2 linked regions of the Drosophila melanogaster genome follow. Changing the gene in region 2 together with the main gene of any one other region gives a genetic interaction. Each region holds a gene or a part of one and is shown on either strand. Other genes may lie near its edges. The genes, in order: Pkc53E and sl.

Region 1 (6,374 bases), on a different chromosome or scaffold from region 2:
CTGGCAGGCCAGGAAGTGACTACTGGGACCCAGCTGCCAGGACTTCCAGGAGTAAACAGGCTGGCTCCACGCAATTTCAGTTCATTTCTACCTTGCCCTTCTGTTTGTGTTTGCCTTGGGACCAACAATGGATTAAAACCGATTTCGGCAGCCTCACCTGCATTAAATATTACACAGGTTGGCTTTTGTTTTTCTTGGCCTTCTGTAGATTTTGGCTGAAATTTTGGGCCAAAAAGTATCTCAGCGTAATAACTTGACTTGTGTGTTTAAAGCTTTTTGCATATATTAAGGTTAGACTCTAGTTATTTTTATTTAATTTCCTATTTAAAACATTTTTATAGACTTTTCATAGAAATCGAAATGAGTCTGTTCCTCTTTGATTTTCTAGCAATTAGCTTCTATTTGTTTACATACTTTTTGCAAATGATTTTCTCGGAGGTATTTTTACATTTTGCTAAAATGCTCAAATAAGACTTTCTGTATTTCATTTAATTAAAAAACGTAAACATTTTAAATATTTTATGATGAATGTTAAACCATACACACAGTACTATTTTTCTTGCATTTAAGCCAGATTGCTTTCATATTTGTACGCCTATGTGTGCTAAACAACTAAAATCTCAGATTAAATAAGTCTCAGTACGTTATTCATTTTTGAAAATTGAGCTTTGTGAGCTGCCTCCTTGTGTGTTTTTGGTATTTGCTGCTGTGTGTTCCTATTATTTGCCTTATTCCCCCATTGTTTCTACGGCTCGTTCGCCTTGTCAATATACATTTATCGATTCCCGCCACTGATGTTATGTGGACGCATTGCTGGCCATGCTTGGTAGACCCACAAGTGCCGTGGAGGGAAGTGGGGCGTATTCGCATATGGGGATAGCTCTCTCTCTATATGTGCTTGTACACCCGGAGAAAATCATTGGTTCATTCGAATAGTGACCTTACTATGACCTACCCAAACGAAATATATGTATATCTTAAGCCAGCTTGGTACTTTTTCTCAAGTAGATTAGGTCAGGTCATGATAGGATCAATATTCCCTTTGGTCATTTAAAACTTGCACGATCCCGATATATTGGTAATAAATCCATTTAGTTAGTCAAGAGGTAAGCTAGTTTTTCCCCGGGTGTATGCAGTTGGTTCTATAAGAACGATGCATAAAGATGCCACTTTAAGGATGCGAATCACTCACCAGATAAAGTCCTTGCAGTGGGAGCAGAACGTGGGCTGCTTGAAGAACCGGGCGATGAAGCAGTGATCCTTGACATTGAAGACGTTCTTCTTCTTGAGGGCTCCTTTGCGGAGGCGGGACTTCATTTTGTTCTCGCCCACCGCCTCCCCCTCCGCCCCCTGCTGCTGGGGATCCCCGTTGTTATCGCTGCCCTCCGACATTGTTGCTAAATGTTCTTTTTTTTGCTTTTTTTTTCTTCTTGTTGCTTTTTTGTTTATTTGTTGGTGTTTTTTTTTTCTGCACAACGGGTATTTCGCAGCGTTTACAAATCGCAAAGGTTCTTTAACTTGCTCACTTGTTGTTGCCGCATTTGGGTGTTGTTGTTGGTGTTGTTGTTGCTGGTTACGTACTTTTTGCTGGCTTTGTGTTTATTGATTTTCAGTTTTTGTTGTCGGCGTGTTTTTATTAGACATTAAATGCCATCTAACGTTAATAATGGGCGAGAAAGAGAGAGAGAGCAATAATAATAAAACCAAACTGGACTTGAGAATTTCGCTTTAATTTGCCCAAAAGGCGATTTGCATAATTTTATTAATCACTGGCCGCACGTTCGCCGTTTGCTTAATTATTTTTCACTCGCGTCCGGCGCATCGATTTCAATTGATTTTTCTCATAACAAGTGCAGCAATTAAACAAAAACTCAAGCACATGTCATCCGCGACAAACAAGCTCATAATTAGCATTAATTTTAATGCCTCAACGGTTGAATATACAAAAGAATTTCCGAAGGGGTTTTGGGTGGTTAGGTGAATGGGGCACCTTTTCGGCGGAACATGGGCCAAATAATAACTGGCAAATAATATAATTTTTCCCAGCTTGTTGAATGAGAGGCGCAGAAAAAATGAAAAATCGAAAAAAATGTGACGAAGATTGAGCGCGCGTGCAAATAAAAAAGCGATGTGCAAACGAAATAATTTTTATTTCAATGTTTTGCTTTTGTTTTTCAGCTTTATTGAAATATTTGCAACGCCAATTTTTGTGTGCTTCGCTAACAGACACGTTCTTGCTGGCCACTGCTCTCACCTGTGCAGGTGGGCCCACTTGGGATACGATGGTGCCATACCCTGTAAACATAAGCAGTCGGCTCGGTGGCTTACTAATGCAAACACTCAAATAATTTGATTTAATTCAGCTATAACATGATAACACTCTGAGAATTTTAAAATAAATAAATCCTTAGTCAATTTAGTCCCAATTTAAGCTTTAATTATATCAAGAAATGTTGGCTAATTGCAAAATAATTGGTTCAACTCAATCAATGAACTAATTGAAACATTTTAAAGCAAGAACATTTTCATCTATCCAAGATGTACATTTAATTATCTAATCAGCAGTAAGTACAACTCTATTGCTACCCTGCATACAACATATTCAGCATTGATTGCAACCGCAAACTAAACCACAAAAAGGACAATTCAGGACTCGACTGAAACTCTGTGTTAGCAAAACTATCATAGTCTTTGTGAGCGAAATGCAACAGTTACTATCATTTCCGAACGACTTGCGTTAGCGCGTTTTTTTCTTCTTCTCCATTTGTGGAACACATTTCCCTTCACGTTTTCATGTCACTTTTTTGTGCTTAATGGCCATAATGGCTATGACTGCTTTTTCGTTATTATCCCGAGGGGTATTATTAGAATTCCTTGTGGTTAATAGTGCTTTGAATTTGGTAGTAACTTGTCTAGTTTCAAGCACTTGTTCATAACGACATGTGGCGTTTATTTTGTTTACTTTTTGACCGATGACTTAGTGTGATTGGTCTTATTTAGACTACGGCTACACTACACGCACGGGCTGCGAAAATGCGAGGAGCAACTGCCTTTGCTGGCGAACCGAAACGTAGTGAGCGTGCGAGCATTTTCACACGAGCGGAAAATCCATGTCCATGGACTGTGGTGAATTTCCCATCTGTTGCCGTCTCCCTCTTTCTCGCTCTCCGGGTTACACAAGATTTCTTCTCGCACGCACTAACACTCACACACATCTGTTGTTGTTGTTATTGCTGGAAAATGTAGGGGCAGTTTATCCCCAGCTTTTCACTTCGGCCTCCTGGCACTGCGAATTTGTATCGCTTTCCCGGCACGTGCGCTTCGCTCGAGACACAAACACGTTCTGACCAACTGGCACTGGCCGTCTTTTCTGGAGCGCCATATTCGTAGCGAGCTTTTGGGCGCACTGTTAGCCAAAAGCAACAGCGCTGTTAACGCTCATTTGCATTGCGGCCAACTGATTAACATAAGTAAACCCATAGCGATCCGAAACGTCAGACCCTGGAGCACCGATGACGCTCTTGGCCGCTAATTGATCCGACTGAACGAAACTTGTTAAATGGCCACGATCCAGCCGGTTTTGGGCCGAGTTTGCAAAGGCTGCTCTAGCCATTCGATTGCGTTGAACAAGAAGTGATTTGATCTATAAATGGAATCCCCCTCGTGGCTGATCGGATTGTGAGATAGGGAAATTAGTATATACTTATCAATTTGAATGGCTCTCAACTTTCTAACAACTTTAGCGAATAAAATTGAATCTCAAGACTTCAATGATTAATATAAAACTCAAGATGTTAATGAAATGAAACAAAGGCCTTTATGAAAATAGCAATGTATATTTTGCATAAGCTTATATGTCTAAAGCAAACTCTGATAAGATAACAAATATTCCATTTACCATAATAATTTCATTTTAAGCTTTAATTGCCTTGACGCATTTATCACATTATTGCGAAACACTGATTGACGCGCCTTATAAATACTGTTGCGCCTCATAAAAAGTAGATAACTATCCAAGCCCTAAAAAAAGGCAACTCAATGCAAAAAATTATTGTATCAAAAACATGGAAAATTCTCTGGAATTATGGACTATTTAATTATATGTGGAATTTTAAAATTTTGTTCGGGTATCAAGCTATAAGGTTATATATTTTATTTTATTAATGTTGCTAAATCGACGTTATCATAAAATAACTTTGGAATTCGATGTAGGAATCTAAAAAAAAGGTTGAGCATGATGATTCGTTTCTTATCTCGTCACTTCTCACTTCGTAACTAATCGACCTAATTTACCACTTAATACCTTATTGTTCCAATGCTCCCAAGCCCGTTTATATATGCCCCAAACTGGAGGAGTGGATATTAATTCGCGCTGGGGCGGATCTTGGCTTACATCTGCCTAACCGCAACCTTCGCCGCGGTTAACTGTTACCCACTACCTGTTACGTGCCACATGCCCCTGCCTTTAGCCACTTGGCTTTGGTGGCACATCTGATAGCCAAGTGTCACGTTTCGCGGCCCGACTTAAAATCAAGCTGGGGCGTTGCTACGAAACGAATCGAATCGAGAGCGCAGCTAATGCAATAATTATTTATCTGCTTTAGAGACACGGACAGACCATAAACTATCACAACATTTTCGCTTTTCGGTTTGTCGAGCGGTTTGGCTCTAATAGAAAGACCAAATATTTGGGCGGGCAAATAAATAACCACTGCACATATACGCTAGCCCAAAATTGGAGATAAAATATTGTGGTAAAATCACATTGCCAATCGCTGCGAAAACCATTTGCCAGTCGACATGTAAATGGCCATGTTGAAAGCCATCGGAATTCGGTTGCATAGATAGAACACCAAATATATTATACGGTAGATACTATAGCTGATAGTGTTGGCGGCACTCGGCCAAGTAGATAGTAATTTATGAATAATTCGCTTTGGATATCACAAAACACTGGGTCATAAATTTCAATTGCAAGCGGGGCAATTAAAATCCATTGAAATGTTTTCTCGGCGGGAAACCATATTAAAAAACATACGGCATTTCGGGTATGATAGTTGTAAACAAGCTTGTTGGAATGGTTAGTATTATACAGGGTATTCAACAGTCGGCGCTTATCTCATTCCTGACTCAAAAACCTTTTCGACACTTTGCTTAACTTATGCCGGACCGGAAATGCTGACAAAACTTAGTATCTATAAGTATATATGAATAGGAAACACTTTGCTTACAACAAATGAAAAAATATCACAGGGTAATTGTGAGTGCGATTCCAGCATAGTTGGATGTCAATAAATTATATCGACACTCTGCTAATTTCTGGAAATCTTTTCAAGTGCACTTAGCCCACATCCGAACACTTTGTAAGAGTCTCATGTGCGGTGGCTGCTGTAAACTTAAACCTGCGAAATCATCTTAAAATCGATTCGAGTTGTTTGAATGGTAATTTCCAATCAGAATGCCATACTTTCACTCAGCTGCTCTCCTTTTTCTTCTGATTTATTTTTATTTATTTATTTATTTTTTGCCCTCTGGGCGATGTTGTGACGTCGCTTTTGTTATTCCCTGTGTTGGGCGGCTTTTCCCGCTTTCGAGAGCTTTGTGCAGCTTTAATTTTCTTTATCAGCACAAACTGAGCATTTTTCACACGCACAGAAAACACGGAAAAGCGGCATAAACGACAAAAAACAGACAAATTTCAATTAAAAGCGTGGGCAGTGGCACAATGGGCGTGTCACTCACGCATAATTGACGCAAATTGTGGCAATCAAGCCAACAATCAAAGTAACAAAGCCAATCTTATCGCACATTTCACCACTGATGGTGATTAACGATTTGTTTATTTTAAGTTATGCAAATGTATACGAATTTTAATTGAAATTTCATTACGCTATTGTTGTTTTTATTAATAAATTATAATATTGGGTCAACTGTTATTTCTAATCGCCTGGTAAGCATAGGGATATTAGATTATTATTTGAAAATATTAATTAAAATAATTGCTTGTTTTGTTGTTTCTGCAGCATTTACATATTTCACGCTCTGTGCACCTAAACTCATTTAAATTTATCTATATCACTTTATTCAAATGCGGAAGAACCAATTGATTCCGTTGCGATTTTATATTTGAAAATTCCAGCTGTTGTCCAAACAATTAAACTGCCACTGAGAGTTAACATTCGTTTTTATTTTTCTCGTTTCCCGCTTTGGTTATATTTTTCGGCACTTTTCAATCGGTAGCGAAAAGCCGATGGCCGCTTGCCTTTTGCTGCAGAAAAAAAAAATCGCTGCCGGCGGCGACCCGTTCAGTCGAACTTTTGGACTGGCCGCGCACTCGTATCTCTCAGATACATTTCGCGTCTGTCTGGCCCACA
Region 2 (6,374 bases):
CTCCTGCGACACCGGATGGCTGAGCTTAACATTGCGATAGAGTGGATTTCGGGTATAATAGTTGATCAGCGAGACCAGAGACTCGAAGTTCATTGTATCGATGCCGTACAAGCGTCCCTCCTGCATAATGCGACAGTGCTTGATCTTTCGATTGATTGTGAACGAAATGACAAAAGCGTTAATGCTCTGCACCGATGGCCGCACTAGAAACGAACCAATTTCCAGCCGGTATAGACCCTGTTCGGCCTGCTCCTTGGTGGTGTTCGGATGGAACCACTCCTGATCCTCGTGCTTTTTCGGCTGCGGAACTGGCTCTTTCAGTATAATCGAAAACTCTGAGCTACGCAGCATATTCTTGCGATAATAAACGATCAGTGAGTACAGTGAATCGAATACAAAATTCTCCACTAGATAGTACTTGATCGATCCATTTTCATGCTTTAACTTGATGCGGCAATGATTCGGGCGATTACGTCGCCAGAACGAAAGGCTATAGTCTCCCACAAACGTGGCCGATTCCCGAACCAAAAATGTACCATCGCCAAAGTGTTTGTACTTCTTTAGTAGATCATCAGCCTCCTTTCTGCCACCTAAAATGCAAATTGTTAACGAAACAAATGGAATATACTGCATATATGTCAACCAATAAACGCACCTTCAAGTTTCCCATGGAACCAATTCTCGCCGAAGTGCAGCTCATCGTTGGCCGAGGTATCCTTTTGCTTTTGCTGCATATTGCTGTTTAGGGAGCACGACGAAGAAAGCCCAAAGTCATCATCCTCGGAGTTTCCGTTGCGTGACTCGTTGATCTCAGAGGAGTAGATTAGCTCCTGATGGGTCAGAACGAACTGATAAAGATTCCAGGACTTATCGACCGGATCCTTGAAGTAGAGCAGTCCCTCCTTGAACACCTTGCGCACATTCTCGCCATCGTTCTCCCCATGCGCTCCACCGCCCGCTCCGCCCAACGATGATCTATGGCCCAGTGAACCCGTGCTAGAAATCCCATTCGCGATGTCGTCAAACTGCGGCAACTTCTTGTGCTTCAGGATTATCTTGCGACGCAACTGGTATGGCGATGGCAAGTGCTGCTCGTTTCGATCACAAGGTTGCGTAAGCAGCATATCCCCGAAAACCTGTAATGGGTCATAAAAGGTATAAGTCAATGGATTTTTATGCGATTAATACTTAAAGCATCAAGAAATATCTAATTACCATCGTCTTGAAATCTAAGTAACTAAAAATATTGCTCTGTTACATTTATAATTAGATTCAAACGAATAAAAAGCGAATTCTTCATATTGTCATACATATTCCCAACTATCGAAATATACAAAATCCATTTCAATTATATATTAAGTTAGGCAATCTCACAGAAAGCCATAAAAGAACTCATTATTACAGCGAATGAATCAAAAAGCAAACATGCAGATCTCCTGTTTGCATGGAATATATAAATTGTTGTTATTAATAGATTCGATTAGGTCAACTTACCTCGATCAAGGCCTGCGCCATATTCCGCTGCTGTTCCAGGGAGCAATTCTGCTCTATGGACAATATTACCGGATACTCGGAACTGGTGAACGCATGATCCTTAATCGTCTTGATGACATCCATGAACTTGATCTTGGAGGTAATGGTGTGGCCGTGAAATATGTAGGGCAGATTGTCGGGCCCGTTCCAACAATCCAACTCGATGCAACGGCAGCCCATGCGAAGAGCGCGGGCGTAGGCCTCGCAGGAGGATTCACTGGAGAACTGATCGCCCGTCAGGTAGGTATTGTGCGACGATGCGATCCAGTAGGAGGACAACGGCAGGTTCATGTCCATGAACACTTGGTCGTACTTGCTGTTCCACAGGTCGTTTTGCTTGGAGAACAGAAAGTCGACGAACTCCGGGAAGGTGAGATACGGCTCCTGAACATCACGTTCCACGTCCTGAACAAAGTCCCGAATGAAGGAGGCAATGGCTGCGCTACTGATCTCACTGGCGCTCACATCGCGCTGTTCCGTCTCGAGGAACTGCTTCAGCTCCGCCGGTCGCACCACCTGTTGGTCCTCCGAATAGGGAAAGTTGGCCACTCCCGATCCGGACAAGACGCTGGCAAATCCGTTGGGCAGCAGCAACTTCTGATATAGCCGCGAGAAATCATCAAACTTGAGATCGTGCTTGCGCCGCACATCCTCGGTAAAGTGCTCCATGAACTTGCCGGTGGTCATCTTACAGCTAACTCCGGCCAAAAAGAGCTTAAAGTCCTTAATGGTCACCTGGGCTGGCGACTGTTCCGTGGCCTTGGCGGAATGCGTGTTAACATTCTCGATTTGATAGTACTCGCGACGCAGCCAGCGATCAATTTGCAAGGGATAGGGTGCTCCCAGTGTGTCCTTAACCATGTAACGCAATCCCCGCACCCAATTGTCGGCCTCGATCTCCGACAGAGCCACCACCGAGAAGCTCTTCAGCTTGAAGTGATTGCCGTGCAGTATGACAAAGCACTTGCTGGACTCGAAGCGCTGACAGTCGTCGGCAAACAGGCGAAACTCCTTCGAGTGCTTGCCCACCCGTATCTCGCGAATCTCCCGCAGCTGTATGGCGCCCTCGTAGTCGGTGCGTGGCGTTTGTGTGGCCACCGTTGCCCAGAGCAGCTGTCGTGTCTCTCGTATGAGCATCAGGTGGCGGCGATCCGGACGACGCTGTTTCCCATACAACTTGGTCACGATGGTGCCGCGCTCCAGCATACCAATGGTCTGCTCCATCTCGCCCAGCAGCGGGGCACTCATCGCACTAAAGCAGCTCATCCTGTCCGGTCCAAACGTGTCGATTCCTATCGAATCCAGTTCTCATCCGCTGGCTGCCACAGGTTGTTTCTCGCCTCGCCAACCGATCGCCAGACTAAGTGCAATGCATACAAACTATGGGTGCCAGCGCGTGGAACTATTCGCAGATCAACTGCTCCCTCTCTTCCAACTGGTCGATGCACAAATCACGGCCACTGGGACTCAATAAACCGAGATTAACAATGCAATATCCGAATTGTACCCAAAAAATACCACAGAAGCAGATAAGATAAGCCAGCTGTTGAGGAAAGTGCCAGTGTTGCCAGGCCGTAATGTGGGTACAGAAAATACTAAATCCACGCAAATGGGGCGTTCACACTGCGGTGTATTTCGAATTGTGAGGAAATAAAAAAATAAATTGACTATTTTATTTAAAAGTTTAGCTTAAAAATTGCTCCATTGTTTACATACTTGAATAACTGAAATATTAAAGTGTGACCAGTTTTATCTTTTGTTTTGAAGTGCGATTCAAAAATTCGTTATGTAAATAGTATTCCTAGTTTTGAATAAAGCAAAACTAAGCATACCAACCAAATCGAAGAAGCTTAAAGCTTTTATTATAACTCACCTTATGTAGATAGGAAAATAAATCCCGACCTGAAGAATTCCTAACTAACTAACTTGAAACCAAACGAACATAAGTTTTCTTGATATTGTATTTAAAATAGATTTACAAATTAATAAGCTTAGGCAATTGACTGATTGTTGTTGTCTGCTTTTCTACCTGTTCACACATGAACACGAATATATTTAAAGACTTACAATTTTGGGCTCCGTTCATATCTTATGTAAATGAATCGAGAGCGATAAATTATATTTAGGATTTTGTTATCTAAGGCGACATGGGTGCATTGCTCAAAAACATGTAATTTAAGTGCACACTACATGAGTCAGTCACTTGAGATCGTTCCCCGCCTCCTAAAATAGTCCCTTAGTGGGAGACCACAGATAAGGTCCTCGCCGCTCAAGATAGGCAGATGTGCCCGAGCGTGGGACCTCGATAAGGCGGGGACTATTTACTTAGGCCTCTGCGTAGGCCATTTACTTTAAGATGCGATTCTCATGTCACCTATTTAAACCGAAGATATTTCCAAATAAAATCAGTTTCTTACAAAAACTCAACGAGTAAAGTCTTCTTATTTGGGATTTTACATTTGGTCAATCGAGCCTTTAATCGACTCTGCAGTTTCCCCCTACCAAAGGTAAGGAACTCAGAGAAAGGCCAGCTCCTTTAAGCATCTTACAGCTAAAGGTAGCAAAAATAAGTGACTCTTGTTTCCCCCTACCAAAGGTAAGGAACAGAGTATAAATATAAAAAGCAAAAGATACAAAAGAATCTTTTATGTTTTAAAACAAGCACCTTATAGTCTATAGCTAAAGGTTGCTTTGTGTACCATTATAAATTGTGGTAAGGCGTGCTTGAGGCCATACATCAGCAATTGTGAAATTAAAAAGTGCATAACAAAAGTGCCTTATAAATGCTCTAATAGCATTAAATCAGCTCATAAATAGAGTGCAGTGTATATGCCATAAGAGCATAAATTAAATAAAAAGTGCCTGAAAACAGTGCCTTATAAATGCTCTAATAGCATTAAATCAGCTCATAAATAGAGTGCAGTGTATATGCCAAAAGAGCATAAATGCCGAAATAAATGGCTAAAAAACAAAAAATCTGACTGGACTACAAAAATAATAAAACGTGCAAAAAAAAAAAAAATCATCTTTAAACATCGACGGAGCCTTAAAGAAGAGAAGGAAGTCAAATTCAAAGGAGCCTCTACCAGCAGCAGAAGCAGCAACAACAGCAGCAGCAGAAGCAGCAACAGCAGTAGCAACAGCAGCAACAACAGCAGCAACAGCAGCAGCAACAACAACGACATCAGCTAAGTCAAAACAAGAATTTTCTGTTTATCCAAACACACATATATATATAAATACATATAAAATACATATACACGTACTATATATATTAAGAAATTACAAAAAATTTTCAAAATGATGTCAGAAAAGACTATTCAATTCCTTAAGAAGCAGTCCGAAATTATTTTGGAAATTAGAAAGTTGGAAGTAAAACCAACATTAACAGATGTAGAAATTCTAAAATTAAATGAGCTTCAAAAATGTTTCATTGCTAATCATAGCAATTTGTTAAAGATCGGCGTTGTCGATCATGAATATTTTAACGCGAAGCAGTATGATTTAATAATGATGGTGTTAGAAAAAATTAAAAATAAAAATGAAAAAATTAAGGGCGAGTCGGTAGAAAACACTTTCCCTAAATCAAACACTGTCCCTAAATCAAACCCTCCCCCTACATTAAACCTTGAAATACGTGGTCACCCTGAAAAAGAGGGTATAGCACAAAACAACGCTTTAAAAGTAGAGCAGGCATTTCGTAATAATGTTGGCCAATTTCGAGTATATCTAGAAGATACGTCTAAACTAATAGACAGTAGTCCAGATTTCCTTAAAATAAGGAAAAATAAAATTGAATTTTTATGGCATAAAATAGATAACCTGATTGAACAGGTGAATAGTCATTTTGAGAGTTCGCTATTCGAAGAAGAAATTAGCGAACTTGAATTTGACAAACAAAATATTCTTACAGCCATTAATAGTCGACTCAGTGGCACAATAAATAAAGCTGAAATGTCGACGGTTGTTAAGGCGGAGGAGTTACCAACCCTGCCTAAAATACAGATTCCCACCTTCTTTGGTGATTCCAAAGAATGGGATCTTTTTAATGAACTCTTTACAGAGCTCATACATGTGAGAGAGGATCTCAGTCCTTCTCTCAAATTTAATTATCTAAAGTCAGCATTAAAAGGAGAAGCCAGAAATGTGGTTACTCATTTACTGCTCGGCTCTGGAGAAAATTATGAAGCCACTTGGGAGTTTTTGACCAAGCGATATGAGAATAAAAGAAACATATTCTCAGATCATATGAATAGGCTTATGGATATGCCAAATTTAAATTTAGAATCCAATAAGCAAATAAAGACATTTATTGACACGATTAACGAGTCAATTTATATTATAAAATTAAAGGCACAATTACCAGAAGATGTGGATGCAATTTTCGCTCACATAATTCTTCGGAAATTCAATAAAGAATCACTCAATTTATATGAAAGCCATGTTAAAAAGACAAAAGAAATACAGGCACTTTCTGATGTCATGGACTTTTTAGAGCAAAGGCTCAATTCTATATCATCATTCTCACAGGAAGTAAAACCTGTAAAGAAAATGATTAATAATAACAAGAATAAAAATTATAGTGACAATTGTGCATATTGCAAACTACCAGGGCATTATTTAATTCAATGCCATAAATTTAAAATAATGAATCCAGCAGAACGGTCTGACTGGGTAAGAAAAAATGGGATTTGCCTAAGATGTCTGAGGCATCCGTTTGGTAAAAAATGTATAAGCGAGCAGCTTTGTTCGACTTGTCGTAAACCTCACCACACGTTACTTCACTTTGCAGGTCATAATCCAGAAAAAGTGAATACGTGTAGAACAACAGGTCAAGCCTT

Evidence for each region.
Region 1: of sl (region 2) and Pkc53E, changing one enhances a phenotype caused by changing the other (phenotypic enhancement), as found in Drosophila melanogaster (one study listed by BioGRID).

Annotation. Positions count from the first base shown.
Region 1 is NT_033778.4:16,921,626-16,927,999, reverse strand, and holds the start of Pkc53E (protein C kinase 53E), read right to left. Parts: upstream 3,076-6,374; 5' UTR 2,963-3,075; intron 2,874-2,962; exon of another isoform or gene 2,255-2,873; intron 1,655-2,254; 5' UTR 1,393-1,654; coding exon 1,193-1,392; intron 1-1,192. UniProt on the Drosophila melanogaster protein: PKC is activated by diacylglycerol which in turn phosphorylates a range of cellular proteins. PKC also serves as the receptor for phorbol esters, a class of tumor promoters.
Region 2 is NC_004354.4:16,347,011-16,353,384, reverse strand, and holds the start of sl (small wing), read right to left. Parts: upstream 3,071-6,374; 5' UTR 2,800-3,070; coding exon 1,495-2,799; intron 1,137-1,494; coding exon 656-1,136; intron 591-655; coding exon 1-590.